Lepisosteus oculatus: one gene and its partner. The protein of the gene in region 2 binds, or shares a complex with, the protein of the main gene of each other region. Links are inferred from orthologs where the notes say so. Each region holds a gene or a part of one and is shown on either strand. Other genes may lie near its edges.

Region 1 (11,299 bases), on a different chromosome or scaffold from region 2:
CTATCTAAAAGCAGAGCACAAACAGTCACAAGGCCGGTCGCGGTGCCTCATCAAACTCAGCAAAGCAAAAGTCATTTGGCCTGCGGTTGCCATCTCCTCTGTGCACCCAGGCTCACTTTCCCTCACAGCAGGACCCCTGAAAGAGAGCTGTCTCACCCTGTGTTAACCAAGTGCTCTCTGTCTGAGCAGACCCCCCTGGGCTCGGGGGCTGCACGGCAGCTGTCCGCAGAGGTGGCCGGGCACAGCAGGAGGGGTCACTCCCAGCTGGCTTTCTAGGTCGCAGCTGCTCCTCAGGGGATCCCAAAGACAGAGGCATGTCACTGCGGAATGCCAGCAGGGCCCCCTGCATGGTCATCTTAAACACTCCCTTTATAATAATGACCGCAGCGACCTGTTAAAAAAATGCAAAATATGTATTAGCATTATTGTACCTCAATTGTATATGAATAAAAAGAATCAAATATGCAACTTTTGTATGTACTGCATGTAGCCATCTACCGTACAGAAATAGGAAGTCTTTTAAAATTAAGCATTTACTAGGAATTAGGCAATTGTGAATATTATGCAGCTCTGGCTGTATCACAGTGCTACGAAAGCAGAACTACGTAACAAGACTTCTAATTCTGCCTCATGCATATAAGGTCAAAGTTAGCAGCGGTTTGCCTTTTATGTGGCTCTTCCTCACAGTGCTACGAAAGCAGAACTATGAGACAATTCTGCCTCATGCATATAAGGTCAAAGTTAGCAGCAGTTTGCCTTTTATATGGCTCTTCAGCATGGTATATTGTACTTAACCACTGACACAGATGCATATATGGAGGAATGATTTTTCAGGCCCATACCGTCTTTAATGGCAAAGCTCTGAACCATGGGAATGGACATCAATCAGCGCTTGCCATTTTGCAACTCTGACTCTGAGTGCCTAACCAATCTGTCTGTCAGCCGAGTAGACTACATGTCTATGGGCAGTTCCACACATGAAAAGATGGAAGGTGGCACGGAGGTGCAGTGGTCAGCACCGCTGCCTCACAGTGCGAGGGTCCTGGATTCAATTGCGGACCTGCGGTGCTATCTGCGTGGAGTTTACAAGTTCTCCCTGTGTCCGTGTGGATTGCTTGCTCCAGTTTCCATCTACAGTCCAACTACTGTGGTAAGTTAGTAGCCCTGGTGTGGGTGTGTGTCCTGCAATGGACTAGGTGTCTCCTCCAGAGTGCCCTTTGCTTATTGGGATAGGCTCTGACTCCCCCACAGCTCTGAACTGGAATCAGCAGTAAGAAAAAAGGATGGATGGATGAATGGAAAAGGTGGAAAGTGAGCTCCTCAAGGAGAGCTTGTGGGACACGGTCTGTGTGCCTTCAGCAGTACAGCGTCCCAGGGTGCTCCGTGATGGGTGTCCACTGGAGAGGACAGCCGCTCTGTCCCTCACTCACAAGCGCCAGAGCACCAAACCTGAAATCTCCTGACCTTTAAATCCACATTAGCAGACTAAAAACGAGAACAATACAACAACACCATGTGTGCTTAGGCAAACTAGAGTCCAGATCTCGACTGCGGACAGCCGTGTTCACCTCTAGTCCCAGGGATCTTCCTTCAGCATTAGAATCCAGGTGTTGCAGGCAAGATTATCTGCATTAACAATTGTACAATGAAACCAAATCATTTACTGTGCCATCTTAAAGTTTTGTTAATGGTGCTGTAATTGTTCTTACTGGTAGCTAAATACATACAATCGCACCTTCAGAAGGTCAGTCAAGTATTTCAGAGACACATGAAAGATTACAGAAACGGGAAAATGGCTGCAGTCATATACTGTACACACCTATATTTAGAACAGCCCATTCCTCCTGCAGCCTCCATCGAAGGCATATCAGGACTGCTTTAACCTACTTGATATGAGACGGCTAAATTTTGCTCGACCTTGTTACAGATGGCCCTAGGGCTTTTGCAGTCTACTTTTGCTGGAGTTAAGTTGTGTGTCTCAAGGAAATAAGGTGCATGGTGTAGATTCCCTCTTCAGACTTTCAGCCTTTGCATAGATCTGTTTATATCCACACTTACAGAGTAAAAGCATTTTGCTCAAGTCATGATGAAGAGAACTGGGAAAGATAAACTAACATCATTGCAGTGAGGGAGGGACAGTAATAGATTTTTAAAACAATCTACAATGCCATCAGACCAAAAGCAGCAAAGTTAGCTTATATACAGCATGACATTTTGAAGGGCATCAGAGAAGAGATAACTGTGATTGTGAATGGATGGGTAGATAACCTTTCACACTCCACCTCAACAAATGTGCTCACTGGATTCTGGTCAGCTTTGTATCCCTGTGGTGTGCTGCCATACCTTGGGCAATAGTGCTTTCTATTGAGACTCTCAGTGTCAGCCTGTGGTCTGACTGCAGGTTGGAATTCTAGGAATTCTCATTCCTGGGTCCTTATTTCAGGCAGATGGCCAAGGAATAAGAGGCTGTCTACCCAGAGACATGAGCAGTAAATCTGCTGACTGCAGAAGACCCTTCAGCTACCCAAAAGAGAGAGGGGGGGTGAAATTGTCTATAGGAAAGCTGAAAGAAGGAGGTGGAGAGACGGAGGAAAAGCTCTTCTCCTGAGCTTGCAGAAGGCCCCGGGGGTTGCCTGTATATTCCAGGGTGCCCACATATAGACACAATCACAGGTCAGCACGGAGAGAACATGCACAGTATGGAATCAAGTTGAGGACTCAAGAACTACCAGGCAGCAGTAATTAACAATATACCACTGTGCCACCATAATGTGAAGACAGACAGGTAGTTCTTTGTTTATGTTCCCTTAATTTGCTTGTTTCCAATTTAGTGCTCCTTATAATATATTTCCTCATTTAGAACAGAATAACTCTTACTTTAACATGCTTGGCCACAAAGTCTTAGAGAGTGTATTCTGCGTGTACCCAGTATCGGCCTGTATGCGAAGGAACACATTTTCCCTAACTCACTCTTGCTGTTAGCGTTAAGTTGTGTTAAGGCGCTGTCAGAATCGTCATCCCTCCTCTTAAGGGCGCTCCGACCCTTTCGTATTTTAGTTCATTTCGTGCACCTGCCCCCTGTTTAGCCTGACACTATTTAAGCCTGGCGGTCTCACTAGTCCTGGCTCAGCACTGAGGGATGGATGCCCAGAAGCCCGCCTACCAGCAGCATCCTGACCATCTGAGTCCAGGGCTCAGAGCGCCTGGCCTCGTCACCCTGGTTTTATTCCCTGTTCCTGTTCCGGATCCCATTCCGGATTTTAACCTTGTTTGTCTCGGATGGATCTCCCAGTTCCTGGACTGTGCCCCAGATTCCCCCTTGGACTGTCTGGACTCGTTTGCCCATGCCACGCCCCCCGAGCGCCGGATCACTGTCGTCACGCTCTCCTGTCTGCCAACCCGTCCTAGCCTGCTGTACCTTCCCTGTTGTCCTTCTCCACTTACTTCCGGATTATACCGTCTGCACAGGGTCCTGAACTACGCCTCGCAGGGACGAGGGTTTAGCAAGCGTGCTATAGAAATGCTTGGTAAGGCGAATAACATTTTGATCAGAGCTCGTCCAATAATGTGGAAAAGCTGGCACTTATTTATGACGTTGAATAAATCAAATAAGCTTCCACCCCATTCACTACCCTCCCCTAACAACAGTCTTCACTTCATGTTTCATATGAAATTGATCGACATTAACGAACATTTCTTCCAAATGACTTTTAGTGCAACTCTATAAGCATCTTATATTGAAACATTTGCTTATTTTAGTTATTAAGGGGTTAAAATCTTTGGGTGAGGGTGAACCCCAGAATGCTTCCTCCCTATATACATTCATATTTATGTGAAACTGCTGTGGAATTCATTTTTAATTTACCCATTTCTGAACTGTGCGGCATTTTTCAGGAACGCATTCATTCACATGAATCAAGAACTACCCCTACTGCATTTTAACAGAGATTAAATGGTTCAAGTTGTCATTTGGATTTTTTTTATATTGCATCTCATAAATACAAAATATATATCCCACCAGCATTCCCCAGCTTCTGAATCCAATCTAACTGGGTTTTACCACTGTAATGCATTATGCATTGGGAACCCAGGCTCCAACCACAGTGTGATTACTGTACATAAGTGCTCTGTCTTGTGCACACCTGAGTCGCATATCATTTCAGATTTCATTACTAATCTCAAACAGAAACCTGTAAGTGCAGAAACACTTTGGCATCCCATGTTAAAATCCAAAAGCTCTATTTAAATTGTCACAGGAGTAATTGGGTCAGAAGACTAAGAAAGTAGAGCACAGCTGACAATTTATAAAAAGCACTTCACTACGGAGTGCCCTATGGAGAATATGCTGCAGACCGCGGAAGGCGTGAAGGGCCGCTTGACATTGAGCGAACAGGAAATGTGGAGGACGAAGGACACTGAAAGCAGGTTCGGTTCAGCTCCAGTTGTCCCTCGGAGCAAGAAGACCCTCTGTCTTCTCAGACCCACTCGTCTCTCAACGGCCATGAGTCAAGCCCTGGGGTCCAGAAAGTCAGGGCTCCAAACCCGAGGTGGCCCCCTGACCTCTCCTCACTCTGCAGGGGTCCCTGCGATGTGCTGGGTTAAGCAAGCCTGGGACAGGGTGCAGTCCTTCTTCACACTGGGCCAGGGGGAGCTGTAGGACAGTTTCCACGCACTCGCCACCACATTCCACCACGCTCTCTTCACTGCAATTAACCTGCTATCCCACCACGTCTCCCCTTCTGTTCTTCTTAAACCTTTCTACCTGCCCTCTCCATGCTCACCATTGAGTTCAACCCACCTGAGTTTAACCTTTTGCCGCCTGTTTGTCGCACTACTTTTTGGATAACGGACACTGCCTTCACCACCGACTACGGACCTGCCTCACCGACCGGATTCGGTGTTCGGACTCTGCTCTCTGGATAGCGGATCTCCGCCCTCCTTCCTGACCACAGCACTGCTTTCCGATTTGGACTTCGGTAATGGAACACGCACTCTCTCTCACTCCTGCCTCGCGCAGGGTCCGAATCAGCCCCACTGGTATTTGACACAGGTTCCATTCACCAACAATGGAGATGTCTCTTTAAGGGCTGTCATCTTGGTAGGGGAACCTCCCAGACCCCCAGCACCTCATAGCAGTCCTCTACGATTACAATGTCCACAGTTGTATGCTACTACACAGCAATTCCTAGGGTTTACGGAAAAGTGCTGGAGAGACAACTACTAGGATCAGAGGTTAGGGGCACCGGGATGATTTTGAATTTAACACATTCTAGAAGCCAACTTTCTTTTTTACTTACAATAGCAGTTACACAGACAGTCCTTTATCTAACATACTCACCGTGCGTACCAAAGTGTCTTAAACAGAGGCTCAGACTTTCCTGTTTCCCATTTATTTCTACAGCATGAATAGAAACAGCTCTACGTGATGCTATGCCAGAAACTATTTTATCACTGGTGTGACAAGGGTCACATCTTCCCCTTTCACTCCAATAACAACAAGGATGATATAAGGCCCATAGTTTCCCATCTGTTTATCCGTCAAACGTTAAGTGCCTGTAGATCGGAGATCTGAAATGTTCTGTTTAATGAGAAGCTAATTTATGGTAACAAATACACCTCCTGCATCTCTGAGAGCAATGACAGCACGTTTGCATGTCTGCGAAAACCAACAGCTGTTGTTTAGACACAGATTTCTCTGTATAAATAGTTTATAGTAGCATTTAAACTAAGTGCCTGGTGGGAATAAAGTTTAGATTAGGAATGTTAAGAATACTATGATGATGCAATTGAATAAAAGTTCAGTAAATGGGGACAAATCAAGACTGTGAACACAGACTGCACTCTTCAGAACAAAACAGAGCTTTTCACACATTCAGGTTATCCAAGCTATCCTCATAAAGCTCATCAGAAAATAAAATTCGAATGCAACTAAGAAATGCATTAAAAAACTATTATTCCCTTTGTTCCAAAAATTAAGGAGAGAGATATTGCAAAGTGATTTCAAGGAAGGAGAAAAGAAATTCAGACTCAGTCGTTTTCACTTTGCACTAACACAACAACACCAGGAAAATCGAGGCTTTATATTAACTGTAGAAAACTCAGCAACACACAGCAGAAACCTCAAAAACTATGCCCACACTCTTCTCGGTGATTAATGAAGTACTTGTAGTTTAGCAGACGGCCACAGCCCTGTGCTTAACGGGCATGCTGAGAAAACATAGAGACGAAACCTGATAAGTGGACATCCTGACAACCTGACTCACAGCTCACATTAATAGCAGCAGCTACCCGCCCATCACAGGCAGCCAGTGTGGTCATCAACTTTTCTGATATGCATCAACAGCTGTAGTCTGAACCACACTCCTCCTCACTCCATGAGGAGAGAGAGAGGAAAAGAAAACTAGGGCACTGTTTTCTGGCCACTTTTTTTTTTCCTCCCAACGAGCGACAGGGATTTGGAGTGGGCTGAAGCTGCGAGCAGAGGGGACGTGGGAGTGGAGGCTTAAGGAGAGGTCTGCAGAGTCCACAGGCAGAGCGGCGGAGGTGAGGCTGTGAGGCAAGAAAAAAAAACCCCCGCTCCAGTGAGAACCGACAAGCAGAGCCATGCTGGAGGACAAGACCACCAAGGTGAGGATAGCGTTCTTCGTCATCCTTGTCGGGATCTCCGCCATGTTCGCCGCCGTGACGACGGATCACTGGGCGGTTCTGAGCCCGCGGGTCGAGCGCCTCAACACGACGTGCGAAGCGGCTCACTTCGGACTCTGGAGGCTCTGTAAAAAGACCATCTACATGGAGGAGCCGGACCCTAGGGGCAAGGGCTGCGGGCCCATCAGTCTGCCTGGAGGTAAGACCCTTCCGTCTCTGAGCGCTCTGGGCCCCAGGCCCACCAGGGGTAACACCGAGGTGCGGGGCCGTGTGAAAGGACAGAGAGAGCGAGGGGCTCTAACCCAGCAGGGCTGCAGGGCTGCTCCAGGAGGAAGGCGCTGTTACAGCGTTAGTTTGGCAGGGTTGACAGATAAACATCTGGGCACCGCGCCTCTCCCTGTGGGTGTGCTCCTCGCGCCCCGGTCAGAGCCAGCTCGGGCGCTCAGGACCTGGAAACCTCGCTCACGCAGACAAGCGGGATCACTCACTACACCCGGAGTTCGAATTCAAATTCAAATTCCTCCAAGACCAGCTGCAGTACGTACAGTCACATACACTTTATACATAGAAGAGTTGTGGGTATTGTATATGTACATCTATCCATTAGCTTGTCTGTAGCCCAAAATGGGAAAACACTACGTTATTGAGAATACCGATCGGACGCACAGAATATTCAGATAATCACGGCAATGGCGAAAAACAGTCTTTAAAAATCAGCACTATTAATCCTTTTTAACAAAAAAAATGCTCCACGCACATTTTAATGAAACTAGTGTTCATGATTTAGACAAAACCAACATCCGTACAAACATGATTTATGCAACTTCAGCCTAACAAAAGAGCAGAGGTCTTCCCTGTTCTTCACACGTGTTGTGCTGTAACATCCCAAGAAAAGTCCTGCGATGACAACTCTGTGCCACCAGTCACAGACAAGCCAGCCCACTGGTCTGCTTGTTAGAAACTGAAACAGGCTCTTCTGCTGAAACAGCGTCTTTTTAACACAGACGGTAAGACAACTCACCACTGAGAGATTTCTGATAGAGAAGGAACCTTAATACCAGAAGAGCAGAGATTCATTTGATGCAAATCATAAAGCAACACACAACCCCAGCTCCTTTTCATCATGAACTACAAGAGTAGACATAGAAATGTTTTGCCTGAAAGATTTATTTGCAAAAGAAAAAAGAAAATGAGGCTCTTCATTGTCACAAGGGCCCCTTTAAATGCACAATTTATGTGCAGTGAACTGAAGCAAGTAATTGTCTGTGTCGGTATGTGTGTTATATGTTTGCAAAACAAGATGGCATGGTACCATGGAAGACAGAGCTCTTAAAAAGGAGCCTGTTTGTATATTTGGCTGACCTGGCTTCCAATATCTGGGTGAGATAGGAGCTGGGAGAGGTCTCTGTTTGCCTAAAAACACTATTTACAGTCACAGAGCAATAGGTCTCACTTTGCACACTTTTGTAGTAGTGCATCAAAAAAAGAATTATTGCATGAGCAATGGTAAATGTGCACCATTAACCCATCCGATTTGATTGGCAAACAATTGTCTAATAGCTTTTAAGAAAGAAAGAATGGCATTTGCTTTTCTCTCTTCTTCCCTAAGACTTAAGTCTATGGCGTTAAATGCCCCCTGGTTGAAAAAGACATGTCTTCATAAAGCAGGGTCTGTTAAAAAAGAGAAATGTGGCCTCAGTTTTTTTTTTTCATGAAGTGAAGCATTTAACCGCAGCACATATTTGGGAAAAGCTCTCTTCTGCCTCCAGCACTTACAGCACCTAGAGAAAAGCCCCCAAACCCAAGGTGGAAAGAAGAGGATCATAAGTGAATATTCAGTGAACTGTGAATATTGTGTCATTCAAAAAATGTTTAAAGATCAACCCTATGTTTCACTGTGTCTCACCTGGGCTGTTTCAAGTAAAGTTGCATTTTTTTTCTTTGAATTACTCGCATCCAGTACCTCAGCTACAACTCCACTGCAATTGCTTCCCGTTTCCCTGCTTGATAGGGCTGAGGGCTCTTCCTACAGCCGCCGCAGTGTGCCGAATCTGCAGCCGGCCAGCCCTCCCTCAGCGCAGAGCTCCCTCGCTGTGCGTTGAAAAAATGAAGTTAAAGGACATTACACGCACGAGTCTTGTGAGAGATCTGCACACAGAATCCCCTCACAAGTGGAACAGCCAAGGGCTGTGCAGAACAGCTCTGAACTCGTCGCCGCAGAGACAGAAAACCACAGACCCTCATGCTTCTGAGCGTTTCAAAGGCATCCTGCAGGTTCACAATGTGATTTTTCACAGCTTTCTAGCAAAACGGAGACTTCTGCCGTTACATGTTGTTACTAGTCCAATCCTTATCAAGCTATCCCAGTTTTGTGACCTGCTTTGCAACACATAAAAAACATAACGAAAGTCATTCAGCCCTTTTAGTTTGTTTTGGAGTGAGGACAACCTCTCTTTCTAGTGCCCTGCTTTGCCTGCTCCTTCGGTTTTTAATTTGCTTTCCGCAGTCTCCCTTCCTTTCATCGTACTCTGCCACTGGATTGTCTTTGGAGGGTTGAGAGTCTTCACTTTTCCGTTAGCGGCCTGGGGCAGCGCAGTGTGTCGGCTTGCTTAAGCTCGTTCAATGAAACAGACGCAGGGAGAAGCAGCGAGTAGAGACCGAAGAAAATGACAGTGGAACTGATTCAAAAAACCGCCCAATTTAATAAGACAGTGTTAATAAGACAAGGCAGGTGAAAAAGAACAGTTGGGGAAACAGAGAAGCTCTGCATGCTTTGTGCAAAATGTGTGCAATAGGGGTTCCTGTTTTGGAGGTTTCATTTGATGAAAACTATATATAGGCAGCAGTGTAGAATAATGGCTAGGACTCTAGACCCAGATCCAGAAAAGCTATGGGTTCAACATGTGGCGCTGTCACCCCTGAGTGAGGCACATCACTCAGATTGCTTCAGTAAAATGCGCAGCTGTATGAACGGACACAAATGTGAGTTGCTTCGGATATAATCTGGCATGAACAGCTACTGTGCATTAGTGCGTGTTCATGTATGAGCTCCCCGGGGAGCAGAACATTTCTAATCACCCAGAGATCTGGACGGGGCCAGCTGGTATGAGACCACCTTGCGTGCATGAGGCTACAGTGGGCAGGGCTGCCAGGACAGAAATAACCCAGTGCTCTCCAGCGCAGGCTGAAGTTTACTGAGGCACCTTCGCTTTATTAAAAAATAAGCAGAGGTTTTCTTGGGTGCTGTACAACAGTATTGCTTTGCTGTTGTTTTTTACCTGGTATCATAAAGACAGGACGGTTTCGAAATGTCAAAGTCCGCCTGATACAGCGCATGCAGATATCATCAGGGCACTACAGCAGTATCATGGTAGTTTTGGAGCCTAAGAGGGGTCAGGCTGTACTATTTTAGAGCTCTGCTTTTTTTAAAAATAAATCCAGTACGGGTCTATGGGCTCAATACTGACTACAAGATATAACAGCAATTTCTCCAGATGTAGCTTTTAAGGTGAAGAAATTCTGGGCATTTCACTAAAAGAACAATTTGTCAGTTCTGCGTCTGTGTAGGAACAGATGAACTTGAGAAAGGTTATCAATGAGGGGTGGACATGTGGCCAGTCTGGCATGTTTAGATGGTAATAGCTAAATGACCCAAGGATCTCATACAACTGTTTTTCAGCCTTCAATTTTGCATAAGAAACGAAGCTGAACACAAACAGACTATAAACTAGAGGTTACGGGTTTCCAGGTGAAGTGCTGAGAGAGAGGTGTGTTTGTCTCTCTTTCCGCTGGGAACGGGTTGCCTTTGGCTTGCTTGACTTCGTCCGAGCACTCCTGAGATCCCCTGTCTGCTGAAAGCGAGCATGAAGGACTACTCATTAGTAGCCAGACAGACACAGAGAAAATCTTAATTACATAAACAGTATATATGATTGCAACAACCACATTAATGTACTGTATCTGCAGAAAGGGACTTTGGTTCTTCCTCCAGCATGTGGTTGGATAATTTTAGGCTTCAGTCAATGGCCAGCTGTCCCAATAAAAAGAAGCTGCAGAGCCAAGTTTTTCCCTGAAGTTCCAAACACCAGTGAGTGACAGAGCCATGTGTGCTGGGCTCACATAGCACACATACTTCATGCAGAGCAAGGAGCCCAGCAGGGACTGCTCCCTGTCCGAGGCCCATCCAGCTCACAAACCATTAGAGAAACTAACGTTGAATCCTGTGGAGTCATTTTTTGGTGAAAGACAGTCCAGCCTGGTTCCCAGTATATCAAAAGACACACAGCAAGCACAGTGGGTAAGGACAGAAGGTGCCATCTGTTCTCCTTGTGATTAGAAAAAGAACACCCTCAAGCTCTGTCTACACCTGTTTGCCGGAGTCAAGCTGAAAGCCTTTTAGCTTTGCAGATAGTGCCAACAGGTTAAGACGTTATCATTAAACACATGGCTCCCCTGTGACAATGTTCTGCAACTTGTTTCAGAACCCTGCGCCCTCAATCCCAGCCTGGGCTGTCGCCGAGCTTGCGATTTCATTTGCATTTGACAAAACGGCACCCCAGAAGTGTGACAATTTAAAATACACACCTTTTAATTAAAAGGCATTTAACCAAGCTACTTTTTTCACCTCAACACCAACAAACTTATGAAGACACCT
Region 2 (10,999 bases):
CAAAACGCATCTCATTGAAGGTTTACAGCCGAACTACCTAAACAGATTATTTTTCCACTAGAAAATGTATACCGATTTACTCTCTTTCATTAACGCTTTAAAGGAAGACAAACAATGGCCTTGGGTGACGCTACGTTATCATGAAACGAACCTTTTTTGAAAAAGGTGGGTAGCTGCGTCAGCATGCGTAGGCTGCAAAGGAACAGTAGCGGGAGAACAAAGGTTGGGAGGGAGGAGGAGTGAGAGGCGGGCCAATCAAGAGGTGTGAAGTCAGAATGGGTGCAGAGAGGTGTGAAATGAAACTTCCAATGAATGGAGAAAATTTAAAAGAACAGTAATCTGTCGTTAAGGGAAGGTCTTAACGACAGATTACTGTTCTTTTAAATTTCCAACCTCCCAACCTTTGTTCTCCCGCTACTTTACCTTTGCCTACTGCCCTGTCTCTCTCACACCTGAAGAAGGCTCCACGGCCGAAACGTTGTGTTCTCTTTCTTCTTTTTTTTCAGCATGGAATAAACCTATTACTTGTTCCTTTTTTGAAAAAGATTTATTCTGGTTACAAAGAATATGAAATCAGTTACGTGCTTCTCCAATACCTAGTGACTGTTCTTACTTATGGCACTGTTACCTGGAACAAAGGGTTGGGTTTCTCGGACACTGCAGAAGAGGTCTTGTCTGCCCAGCTGTCCAAGGGCCTGGAGGTCTGGTTGAGGGGCTCGTGGAAGCGGGCAGCCAACGCTGGCCTGGCAGCATCCATGCTCTGCTCCTGCTGGACCAGCTGCAATCTGTGCAGCAGCTCATGGGGGGAAACCACCCCCGAAACTGAGTGCTGGGGGGCGGCGGCCACCAGCGGTGGTTTGCTGGGGCTAAAATAAAGCGCCTGGGACTGGTGGGCACCACTGAAGCTCAGTGGCTCTGCACGGTCCGGCTTGACTACGGGGAGTCTGTGCAGCAGGTTGGGTGCGGTCTGGAGCTGAGGAGGTGGGTGAGCGCAGCAGGGAGCGGGAGGCTGGAACAATCTTTGCAGTGGGTCTCTGCTCGCACAGGGGGCCACTGCGGGGGGCTGCAGGCCCCCGTTTTCACACAGCCGGTTTTCGGGAGACTCTGAAACTGGCTGCAGCTCCACAGCCCCGCGGTGCGTCATCAGCTTCTGGATGGCAGGACAGTGCTGAGGGGGGCTGCCCACCGCTGTCTTGCCCATCACTTGCGCTGGCTCCTCATAGGAGAGGGATCGTGCCACGGCAGGGCGACCCCCAACTTTACAGCCAGCCGCCTGCGCCCTGTTGTCGCCTGCACCTGGGGAGACAGGCTCCTGTTTGTCTTGCACTCCAAAGAGGGCAGCGAGGGATAAATGCTTGGGCTCAGTCTCACCGTCCTTTAAGAGAAGATAAGACAAGACAAGCTATTTACCATCAACAAGGTGTAGCATGTTTTACCAACTGACATGGCTATTATGGTTATATTATGGAATTGACATGGCTATAGAACATGGCACTGATGGTTAGAAATCAAGAAAACAGTCCAGTATGGAGAATTGCCCCAGAAAATGTTTCTCAAAGAGTCTAAGATTTATGCTTCAATGCAAAAAGAACTATCATTCAACTGTGAAGACAAAGCACCACCTTTAAGGTACACAGTGGAAAGAGGAGATAACGTGCAGTGTTCCTTTTCCCTTCCAGTGCCTTAAAAAGGACTACATTTCAGTGTCTTCCTCATGAAAGTTAATATACTTTAATAAATTCTCCAATAATAGTGATGAAACAGATTATCTGGTAGCATTAAAGGACAGAACATTTTCCACAGATTTAAAGCGGATGACTGCAAACGAGAACAGATTACATTTTAAATCTAATTGAACACTTTCTAATTAAATAGAGAGTTACTGAAAAAAATCAATGCATATTTTTTTAACACATGAATGACAGGACAGGTAAATGAAAAGTGGACTATAATATTATACAAATTATAAAGTGGACTACAGTCTCAGAATGAAACACTGGTTGGATCCCCAGAAAATCCTAGAAAGTGCTAAAAATCTGCACCCATTTTGCATACACTAAAGATTAATGGCTCTTCTGCAAGTCCCAAGGCAGATACAAATACCTTGGGGAGCTGCTGAGAACTGTAGGCTCTTTCAATGGGCTTTACGGGGATCGGCTTGATCAGGTTGGGGTTGTCATAGATCACACTACTGCCAGCGATCTCCTTCGGCTCAGGCTTACTCTACGAAAGGCAGAGAATTTAATGAGGGCAAAGATCACAAGTCATTATCAGCTCCTGTTTTCACCGCTCAAGAAGATCAATCAAGTCTTGCATCTTGTTATGACGGCTCCATCCTGTGGCAATAAGCACTGTAACCGTCACAAAATTAAGAAATCTGCACTGATGGGACGGTGCGGTGGCTCTGTGGCTAAGGATCAGCGCCTGTGGCTGGAAGGTTGCCGGTTCATATCCTGCAGCTGGCAGAGGAATCCTACTCCGTTGGGCCCCTGATCAAGGCCCTTAACCCCAACTACTCCAGGGGCGTCGCATAAATCGCAAACCCTGTGCTCTGGCCCCAATCTTCTCTCCCTGTCTGTGTGTCTCATGGAGAGCAAGTTGGGGTATACGAAAAGACAAATTCCTAATACAAGAAATTATCTTATATAATGTCTTTTCAAAAGCAAATATTCCTGAAATGTCATTAAAAATAACACCAAGCATTAAGAGGAAAGAAGAACAAAGGAGAAGAGGACCTTCGCAAAAAAGAAAGAAGAGAACAAAGAAGATTACAAAATATGATGAAGCAGAAAATATCTTGTAAACTGCTGCTATGCCTTATTAATCCCAGACAGTTAATGCTCAATAAGGAAGCAGGTATCCTATCAGCATTTTCACAGGATAAGAACCTATGGCTTTGGCCAAGCTAAGAAAAGGTTCAGGAATGCATTTTCTTTTTTATTGGTTTGGCTCTTGCAATGTCAAGGTAGTGAGCCTCAGTCCCTTAACACTCACAGTGAAAATGTACATTACTAACGAACAAGAGGAGGACATCTGGCCCATCTAACCTATTTGGAGGTTAGTAGTTAACTGTCCAAGGATTTCATCCAGCCTAACTTCAGAAAAGTTAGGGTATCAGCTTCAACAACATGGCTAAGTAACTTGTTCCAGACTCCCACAACTCTTTGGGTACAGAAGTGTCTCCTGTTCTTGTTTTAAAATGCACTTCCATCTAGTTTACACTTAGAGTCCTCCACTTCATGTTTCACTGTTTAGTGAAGAAATCTGCTGTGTCGACTGTCAGTGCCATTTATTTTGAATATTTTTTTCTTTTGAAGCCTTTTAGTGTAGGATATTTCCTGAAGCCCCAGGATGTAGATTCTCTGGACTGATCCCACAGAAGCAATGTCTTTTCGATGACCCAAATTGTACACAACTGTATAAATGAGGCATTGCTAGTGCATCATACAATCTTCACATAACATCCCTTGCTTTAACTTCTATGCTTTATATATCCTATTATTTGTTAGTTTTTTAATTGCTTCTTCACATTGTCTAGAAGATGTAAATGAGTTGTTAACATAAACACTTGGGTCTTTTTCATAAGAATGAGACAAAAGACAACTTCACAAGTTTTTTTTTTACATGGTGCTTCTTCCTTGTTGTTCTCAACAACCTTTATAAAACTACATGGGGCTCCAATGAGAAGCTTATAACCTACTTTAATGGGAAGCAAATCTCTGCTATTTTTTGTAAATTGGTTCCTCAACACTAGCCCTACTCCAAACACTTCTTGACTTTTGGTACAAAAGTTAATTTTAATACTTTAAAATCTTTTTTTTTCATATGCCTTAGAATCCTCTCAGTACAATTACAGAGAAATGAAGTTATTTTTAGAATTTTATGTTTATGTTAAAAATAAAACAATACTAAATACTTACAGGAATGTAATTTACTCCTTATCAGCTGAGATACACTGTTCTTGGAGCTGAGGGTATCAGTTGACACTAGTGCCACCTAGTGGTATACTAGTAATTAAACCTACCTTGTCATACTCATCCCTGGCCTTGTTCAGCATCTGGAGGATGTCGACCCCTTTACTGTCCCCTGAGTGCAGAGCTTTGGGAGACACGCCTCCCCCATGCTGAGCTTTCAGTTGTTCTTGCTGCGTTAAACTGGAGGAGGAGGAAAGTCACCAGAGCATAATCCATCTAGTATAAACATACTGCACAGAGCTGCAAAGTCCTGAGGCTAAATGTACACTGTTGCTGCACATTTGTAAGAGTGCATTTTACAAAATCAAACTATACCGCCCTGCAGTGCAGAACGCACTTGATTGCCATATAATTATCATTTGCTTGAAACTGTCTCTATACCACAGAGCCAATTTCAGAAATAATACTCTCAATTTAGCCTCCTGAGCCACTGCCTCACACAGAACAAGAAGGAGAAGCACTTACAGTGTCTGAGGAAACACTAAAACATAATTGATTGTTAAACACTGTATAGGTAATTTTATCTAAAGGGTAGACATACACCTTATAAATGTGTACTATAATGATTAAATGAGACATGAAGATGAATAATAATATCAGTTCAGGTGGGTAGCTGCATCAGCATGCGTGCATAGGCTGCAAAGGAACAAGTAATAGGTTTATTCCATGCTGAAAAAAGAAGAAAGAAAACACAATGTTTCGGCTGTGGAGCCTTCTTCAGGTGTGAGAAAGATAGGGCAGTCAGCAAAGAACATATAGTGTTGGAAAACAAAACCCAGGAGAGAGGAGGAGGCGGGAGCAGGGGAGAGGCAAAGTGGCCAATCAAGTGGTGCGAGGTCGCGAGAGGGGAGGAGAGGTGTGAAATGAAACCTACACATGAATAGAGAGAATAAGAAGGAAACAAGTCTATCGTTGAGAGAAGGGGGAAGGTGTGAACCAAGTTTCAGGATAATTTTAGTTTCTGATTTCCTTCTGCTGTCGAGTTAACAAACCCTACTTTGAGAACGCAGACGGAGAGATCAGTGTGATCATGGCCGTCAGAGGTGAAATGAGAAATGATGGGCTTGGAGAGATCTTCAATCTTCACAGCCTGCCCAATTTTGGCAACCTACTGAATAGTAGGTGTGTTGTTGGGAGTTCAGTAATCTACCAAACTGATTTAATTGAGAACCCCAGTCTCCTTGTACTGGTGGAAGGCAAATTCAGTGGCCCAGATTTTTTCTGTGTCATGTTGTAGAGTATAAAGTTATCCCACAATGATGCAGCACATTATGATTTGCAGTTTGGGATAGTATTTTTTTTGTTCTGCTCTTGATTTTCCCTTGAGGTTAACAGGCTTTATTTTAAGATTTAATATTGCAAAAAATTGTAATGGCCTAATTTTTTTTAATGGTCCAGACAGTGACAAGTGCACATTTGAAAAGTGTATATAGATATACATTGTATTTCTTAAAAAATGATCCACTTATTTCAATCAAAGACATTTAAGTTCAAATTTACACATTCTCCGTGGCTTCTATTAATGTCCTATAATCTACAGAGGGGAATGCTTAAATGATCTGATTAAGACGACAGCAAAAGATAACAAATGCCCACAGGTGTTTCCTGGAAAAACTAAAAATAACACCTATATTTTAGGAGGCTGTAACTGATAAGATTAAGGTTATCTCATCTTTCACAGTGTAGCAACAAGACCAAACCAAAGACACTGTATTGTGTGGCTTTAAAGTACAGAGGATAGGGAAAGGAGAGCAAATAAACAATTGCAAAACCTTATTGTGCCTTGCAAGTATTTAGCTAGATCCCATGAGTGCTGAATCATCATTCTTCCATAACAGGTAGGCTCTAAATTAATATTCTGACACAAAAATGAACGTCAGGAATGTTCCCCCATGCTGAGACTTTGACAAGCATAACATTTTGTGCAAGGCATGTAAATGGATTTCTGATCCACTGTTGCCAAGGCATGTATAATACAGAACACCATCACCTCCTAACCACTGATCCAGATTTTGAGCGAGCATTTGAAAAGAAGAAAGATTAAGTGGGAGAGTGTGGAATGAGACACAGTAACAGGATGACATAATCTTTGGATGGATCACACCACAATACTTCTATAGCTGTGCATAAACAAGAAGTACTGTGACAGCAATTCAAATATTTATGGATATGGACTGGCTGAAAGATGACACAATACAATGTAGAGCTACAAACCGGTGTAATAACTAGATGCAGACAAACAATACATTTGAAATGAACGTACTTCTTCATTAGCTCAGCAATCCGCTGACAGTCCTCCTTGTCATAAAACCAGATCCCATAAATGGACACTGGAAACAAAAAATAACAGACAGATTCTGGTTATAACAGCTCAGGGGACAGGACAGATCTTGATGTTATTTTCAACAAATTCAATTTAATGGTAATATTAAAGACAGAGAAGAACAAAATGTACAGTATTTGGAAAATGTTCAGGTGACAGAGCTGCCCCAAGGGGCTTATCAGCTGGAACTCTTAGGCAGGGATGGAGAGGGCGGGGTCGTAGCCGGGGCTGGAATTTTGGAAAGCCATGCTGCTGAGAGGAAAGGCGAAGCTGATCGGGCTTGGGTCAAGAGCGTCGGTGACAAGCAGACAGTGAACATTTCCCCACACCTCCTCAGATAAATCTTGCAAACAGAAGTGAGAGAGACAGGGCAGCCAAAAAATGTGGAAGATAAAAGAGAAAAACAAAGCGGGCAAGTAGAGGGGCTGAGGCGGCAGATAACTTAAGAAATATCCTGACAAAGGCAGACCGATACTGCCAGCGGACCTCTGAAGAGGTACAGTGCCGTGTAACGTCGCCAGCTTCGTGAACCTCAGTTGTGTGGGATTCTGCTCCTGAACACCGGCTTGGTCACGCTTAAGGATTACATGAAATTGTTTCTCTGACTGAAACTGGCACGGAGTTTTTTATATGACACATGAATACAGAAAACCAGGTGAGAGGGCACAAAGGATTCTAAGGATTTTGATTTGTGTTCTTCATTATACACCACAGTGGTGATAGATCATGTTTCAGAAGGCATTCACCCTGCATAGAAAGCCCAGGCACCAGCGCTTGCCACCAGAGCCAGATGCCAAATACAAAGGAAAACTTGTGTCCGAGACGCAACTCAACTATACCTATGTCCGCCCTGGAGGTAAGATCATTGCTAATTACAGACTATTCTTGAAACTATATTCTCTAATGTTCTAGAATGTGATTTGTGGCTTTTTTACTCCTTTTACAAAGTACAATTACATTTTGCACAACACAGTATTTGAGAACAGATTAGATGTTTTATTCTAACTTACAATAAGTTATTCTATGAAGAATGTCTTTTTATCACTTTTCAAAGGGATTGTTAAGTCTTTCTATTAAGTCTTATGTCACTGAAATCAGCATGAAATTATGTTTAGCGGTTCAATTACAAAGACACTCTGCCACAAAAATATTCCTTTGCTAGGCCACTCTAGGTTACCGAGTATAAAACCATCTGATTACAAAGGTCTAAAAAAAGGCTTTTTTAAAAAACCCTTACAGGTGTTGCCTCTGAAGTTCTGAATGAATGGTTATTTTAGGGATGTCAGAATCTCAGTTAAAATATCCCAGTTAATTAAGAAAGACAATCTCAAAACATGAAGAAAACGTAAAGGGTAGCTTGTCATTCAGTATGACTCGTGATTTCGAGGTGAAAAAAAGCAAATCGCTGGCAAGTGCCCCAGTAGAAATTACTTGCACTTTCTACCATATTTAGACTCTGTGATAAAACTGAAAATGCCTCTATGTGTCAACTTAAACAGCCCCAGCCCTCTAAATAGGAGCAAATAAAATACAGTTACTTGAATTATGAGATCTATCAATTAATAATGAGGCTGCCACTTACTGCAATACACCACAGCCATTTAAGTTCATCATAGTGAATCAAGACTTACAGTGGGCACTGCATGTGAAGGGGCTTCATGTGTATTTGAGAACTGTCTTTATCTTATCTCGGTTGGCTTGGTTTCTGGTGTTGGCAGGACACTCAAGAGAGAAGCCCAGACACGCAAGCTCACTGCCCACCAAAATACCTTTGCACCATAAAAGGAGACGAAAGTCCTTTATGAGCAAACTGGTCTCAAGCTACTATGATTATCACCAATCTCCCTATTTTTATATGTATTTGAGTGCTTTATGCTTTGAAAAGAAAATGAGACTTAAACGTTTTGCTCAATTCCTCTTGAAAACTTACAAAAGGGAAACATTCCTATTTTTTAAAATTTATCACCATCTCCTTCTGACATATTCTTCATTCATTATCGTCCTCCTTATTAAGCCACAAACCAATTCTTCCAACCAGTTTTATGATCTGTAAAATCATGTTATGTGCCTTTAGCCATTAGCTGTTTTTCAGAGACGTTTCAAAATTCCTTGTAACATTTTATGGATATTCTACTTGGTTTTGCATGGGTATAGTGGGTACTGGGTACAGTGCTGGTCATTTCCAGTTTTCTTGTGCTTTTCCGTTTCAGATCGGGGCGTGGTTCCTTCTGACTCATCTTTAATTTTGTACATCCTTCTACTTAATTTCCGCACTTAAGAGAATAGTCTTCAGTCTTGTCTGCTGTGAAAGCAGGTGTTGATTATAAAGGGCTGCAATCATCACCATGCAGAACACCTCTGTAACCGTTCATCCGGCTCCTTTTCACCTCACAGGTTACACTCCTGGTGTGCTGCAGCTACATAAATGGCTTTGGTGGTGGATAAGGGAGATAAAATGCCATGTCAAATCGCTGGTGTTCTCAGCAGGGACACTAAAACCCCATAAAAAAAGTTTAAAATAACCTGCTTGTCACAGACTTTTCCCATATTAAATATATAACCTTGACGGTATTTACAGCATTTCTGAAATGTGATTTGACAGCCGGTGGACCCCGTCAGTAATTTTATCAACCTGCTACAGAAACACATCTTGCAGCACTAGAAAATTTGTATCTGGGTGCATATTTCTATCCTTCCATGGTAACAGTTTTGAGCAGATTTCAACATGTATTCAAAGTGTATTACTATAAAGGAACAAGTAATAGGTTTATTCCATGCTGAAGAAAAGAAGAAAGAAAACACAACGTTTCGGCCGTGGAGCCTTCTTCAGGTGTGAGAAAGACAAGGCAGTAGGCAACGGTAATGTAGCAGGAGAACAAAGGCTGGGAGAGAGGAGGAGCGAGAGGTGGGAGCAGGGGACAGAAAGAGAGGCCAATTAAGAGGTGTGAAGTCAGAATAGGTGTAGAGAGGTGTGAAATGAAACCTCTAATGAATGAAGAAAATTTAGAAGAAAAGTAGTATGTCGTTAAGAGAAGGGGGAAGGTCTGACCCTAGCTGCAGGATAATTTTGGTTTCGGTAGTCTTTCTGATGTATGAGTTTGGAAAACCATCTTTGAGAACACAGACGGAGAGATTAGAGTGGTCGTGGCCGTCAGAGGTGAAATAAGAAACAACAGACTTGGAGAGATCTTTAATCTTCACAGCCCTGATGTGTTCTCTGAAGACGGCCCCGACGGCCATGACCATTGCAAACAATGTTGTGTTTGCTTTCTTCTTTTTTTCAGCATGGAATAAACCTATTACTTGTTCCTTTGCAGCCTATGCATGCTGACGCAGCTACCCACACGTATTACTATATGTCGTTTAATTATTATATTGCTATTAATTTCTCCAAATTTAATTTAGGAATATGGTGCCTGATAATGTCTATATTCCTCACTAAAGAGTTCATGCACCAGTCTATGCATATGGACTGTGTGTGGAGTAAATAGAAAGACCATGTTTTTCTTCAGAGTGCCCCAGCCATTTTTGAGGATTTTTTTTTGGATGGACTTACAAGCTTCTTGACCTTTTTTGCTAGCAAAAAAAATGAATAATTGTTTCCAGCAGTGTTAATACATTTTATCACATACTTACAACGGGCATTCCTGTAGAGCAGGAAAGGGTCCTGCAGCTGAAAGTCCAGATCCTTGGTTATTGGCTCAGTGAGGTTGTCCATACTCAGGCGATTCATTATGGTGAAGCCATGCCTGGGGGAGGCAGACCTAAGACCAGAATAAAACAGGAAAAATCAGGGCAAAATTTCATTGTGTTGTTTGGAGCTCTAAGCATAAGGCAATGGATCAAGTTAAAAAGTCCTTGCAGAAATTCTTTAAAGACAAACATGGATTTAAAAATCAAAATTTTGTACAGCACTGGGTTTAACATGCACATGAGATCTTCACTTTTTAAGGTGATCTATCCTGCATCCAAGAAATGAAGAAAAACAGACTGGTGTAGAGTGTTTGTGAAAGCCAAAACATAAACAGTAGGAGAGTAACCCCGGCAGTGTCCTGGCCAGATTTCCCCTTGGCCTTTACCAATCATGGCCTCCTAATAATGCCCTTCTATGAATTGACTTCATTACTCTGCTCTCCTCCCCACTGATAGCTGATGTGTGGTGAGCGTTCTGGCGCACTATGGCCGCCGTCGCATCAGGCGAAAGAGTGACGCTTTCTGCCCCACCAACACAACCTACTACAGCAACCTGCTTTTCCTAGTGGATTACAGTCCTAGTTGGTACTAATCACTACCTACATTCCTTGATTTGATTGATCTAACAAGAGACTCTAAATTGTATTTCTAAACTTCTTTTTGTTTTGTTTCATCTGTATCTTAGGATCCATTAGAATGAAACTGTGTCGCTCCAAACAGACTTCACATTGTCATTTGTTCTAGTGTTCCCCCTACGCTGCATACAGTAGGTTGTGTTTTGGTCACAAAATTACACATTTCATTATATTTTGGCATTTGGTGGAAATTGTTTCCTGTTTTTTCCTGAATCATAAACATCTTACAGGTGAATCATAAACATGGGTTTTCGCCGTGTGCTCTGGCTTCCTCCCACAGCAGCAGATTAATTTGGTTAATTATGTTCTGGGAAAAATGGTCCTATTGTGAGTGTGTGCATGTCTGTGCCTGTGTGTGTCCTGTGATGGACTGG

The links.
Region 1: cacna1c (region 2) and cacng1b share a complex: the UniProt entries of both Homo sapiens proteins name them as parts of the calcium channel complex. The link is inferred for Lepisosteus oculatus from reciprocal best matches to the Homo sapiens genes CACNA1C and CACNG1.

What each region holds. Positions count from the first base shown.
Region 1 is NC_090704.1:45,907,834-45,919,132, reverse strand, and holds the start of cacng1b (voltage-dependent calcium channel gamma-1 subunit), read left to right. Parts: upstream 1-6,347; 5' UTR 6,348-6,603; coding exon 6,604-6,844; intron 6,845-11,299. UniProt on the Homo sapiens protein: Regulatory subunit of the voltage-gated calcium channel that gives rise to L-type calcium currents in skeletal muscle. Regulates channel inactivation kinetics.
Region 2 is NC_090702.1:7,863,564-7,874,562, forward strand, and holds the start of cacna1c (voltage-dependent L-type calcium channel subunit alpha-1C), read left to right. Parts: upstream 1-6,599; 5' UTR 6,600-7,023; coding exon 7,024-7,153; intron 7,154-9,933; coding exon of another isoform or gene 9,934-10,061; intron 10,062-10,999. Other genes in the region: dcp1b (mRNA-decapping enzyme 1B), read right to left, coding at 629-1,375, 2,104-2,223, 4,025-4,154, 6,238-6,304, 9,934-10,061. UniProt on the Homo sapiens protein: Pore-forming, alpha-1C subunit of the voltage-gated calcium channel that gives rise to L-type calcium currents. Mediates influx of calcium ions into the cytoplasm, and thereby triggers calcium release from the sarcoplasm.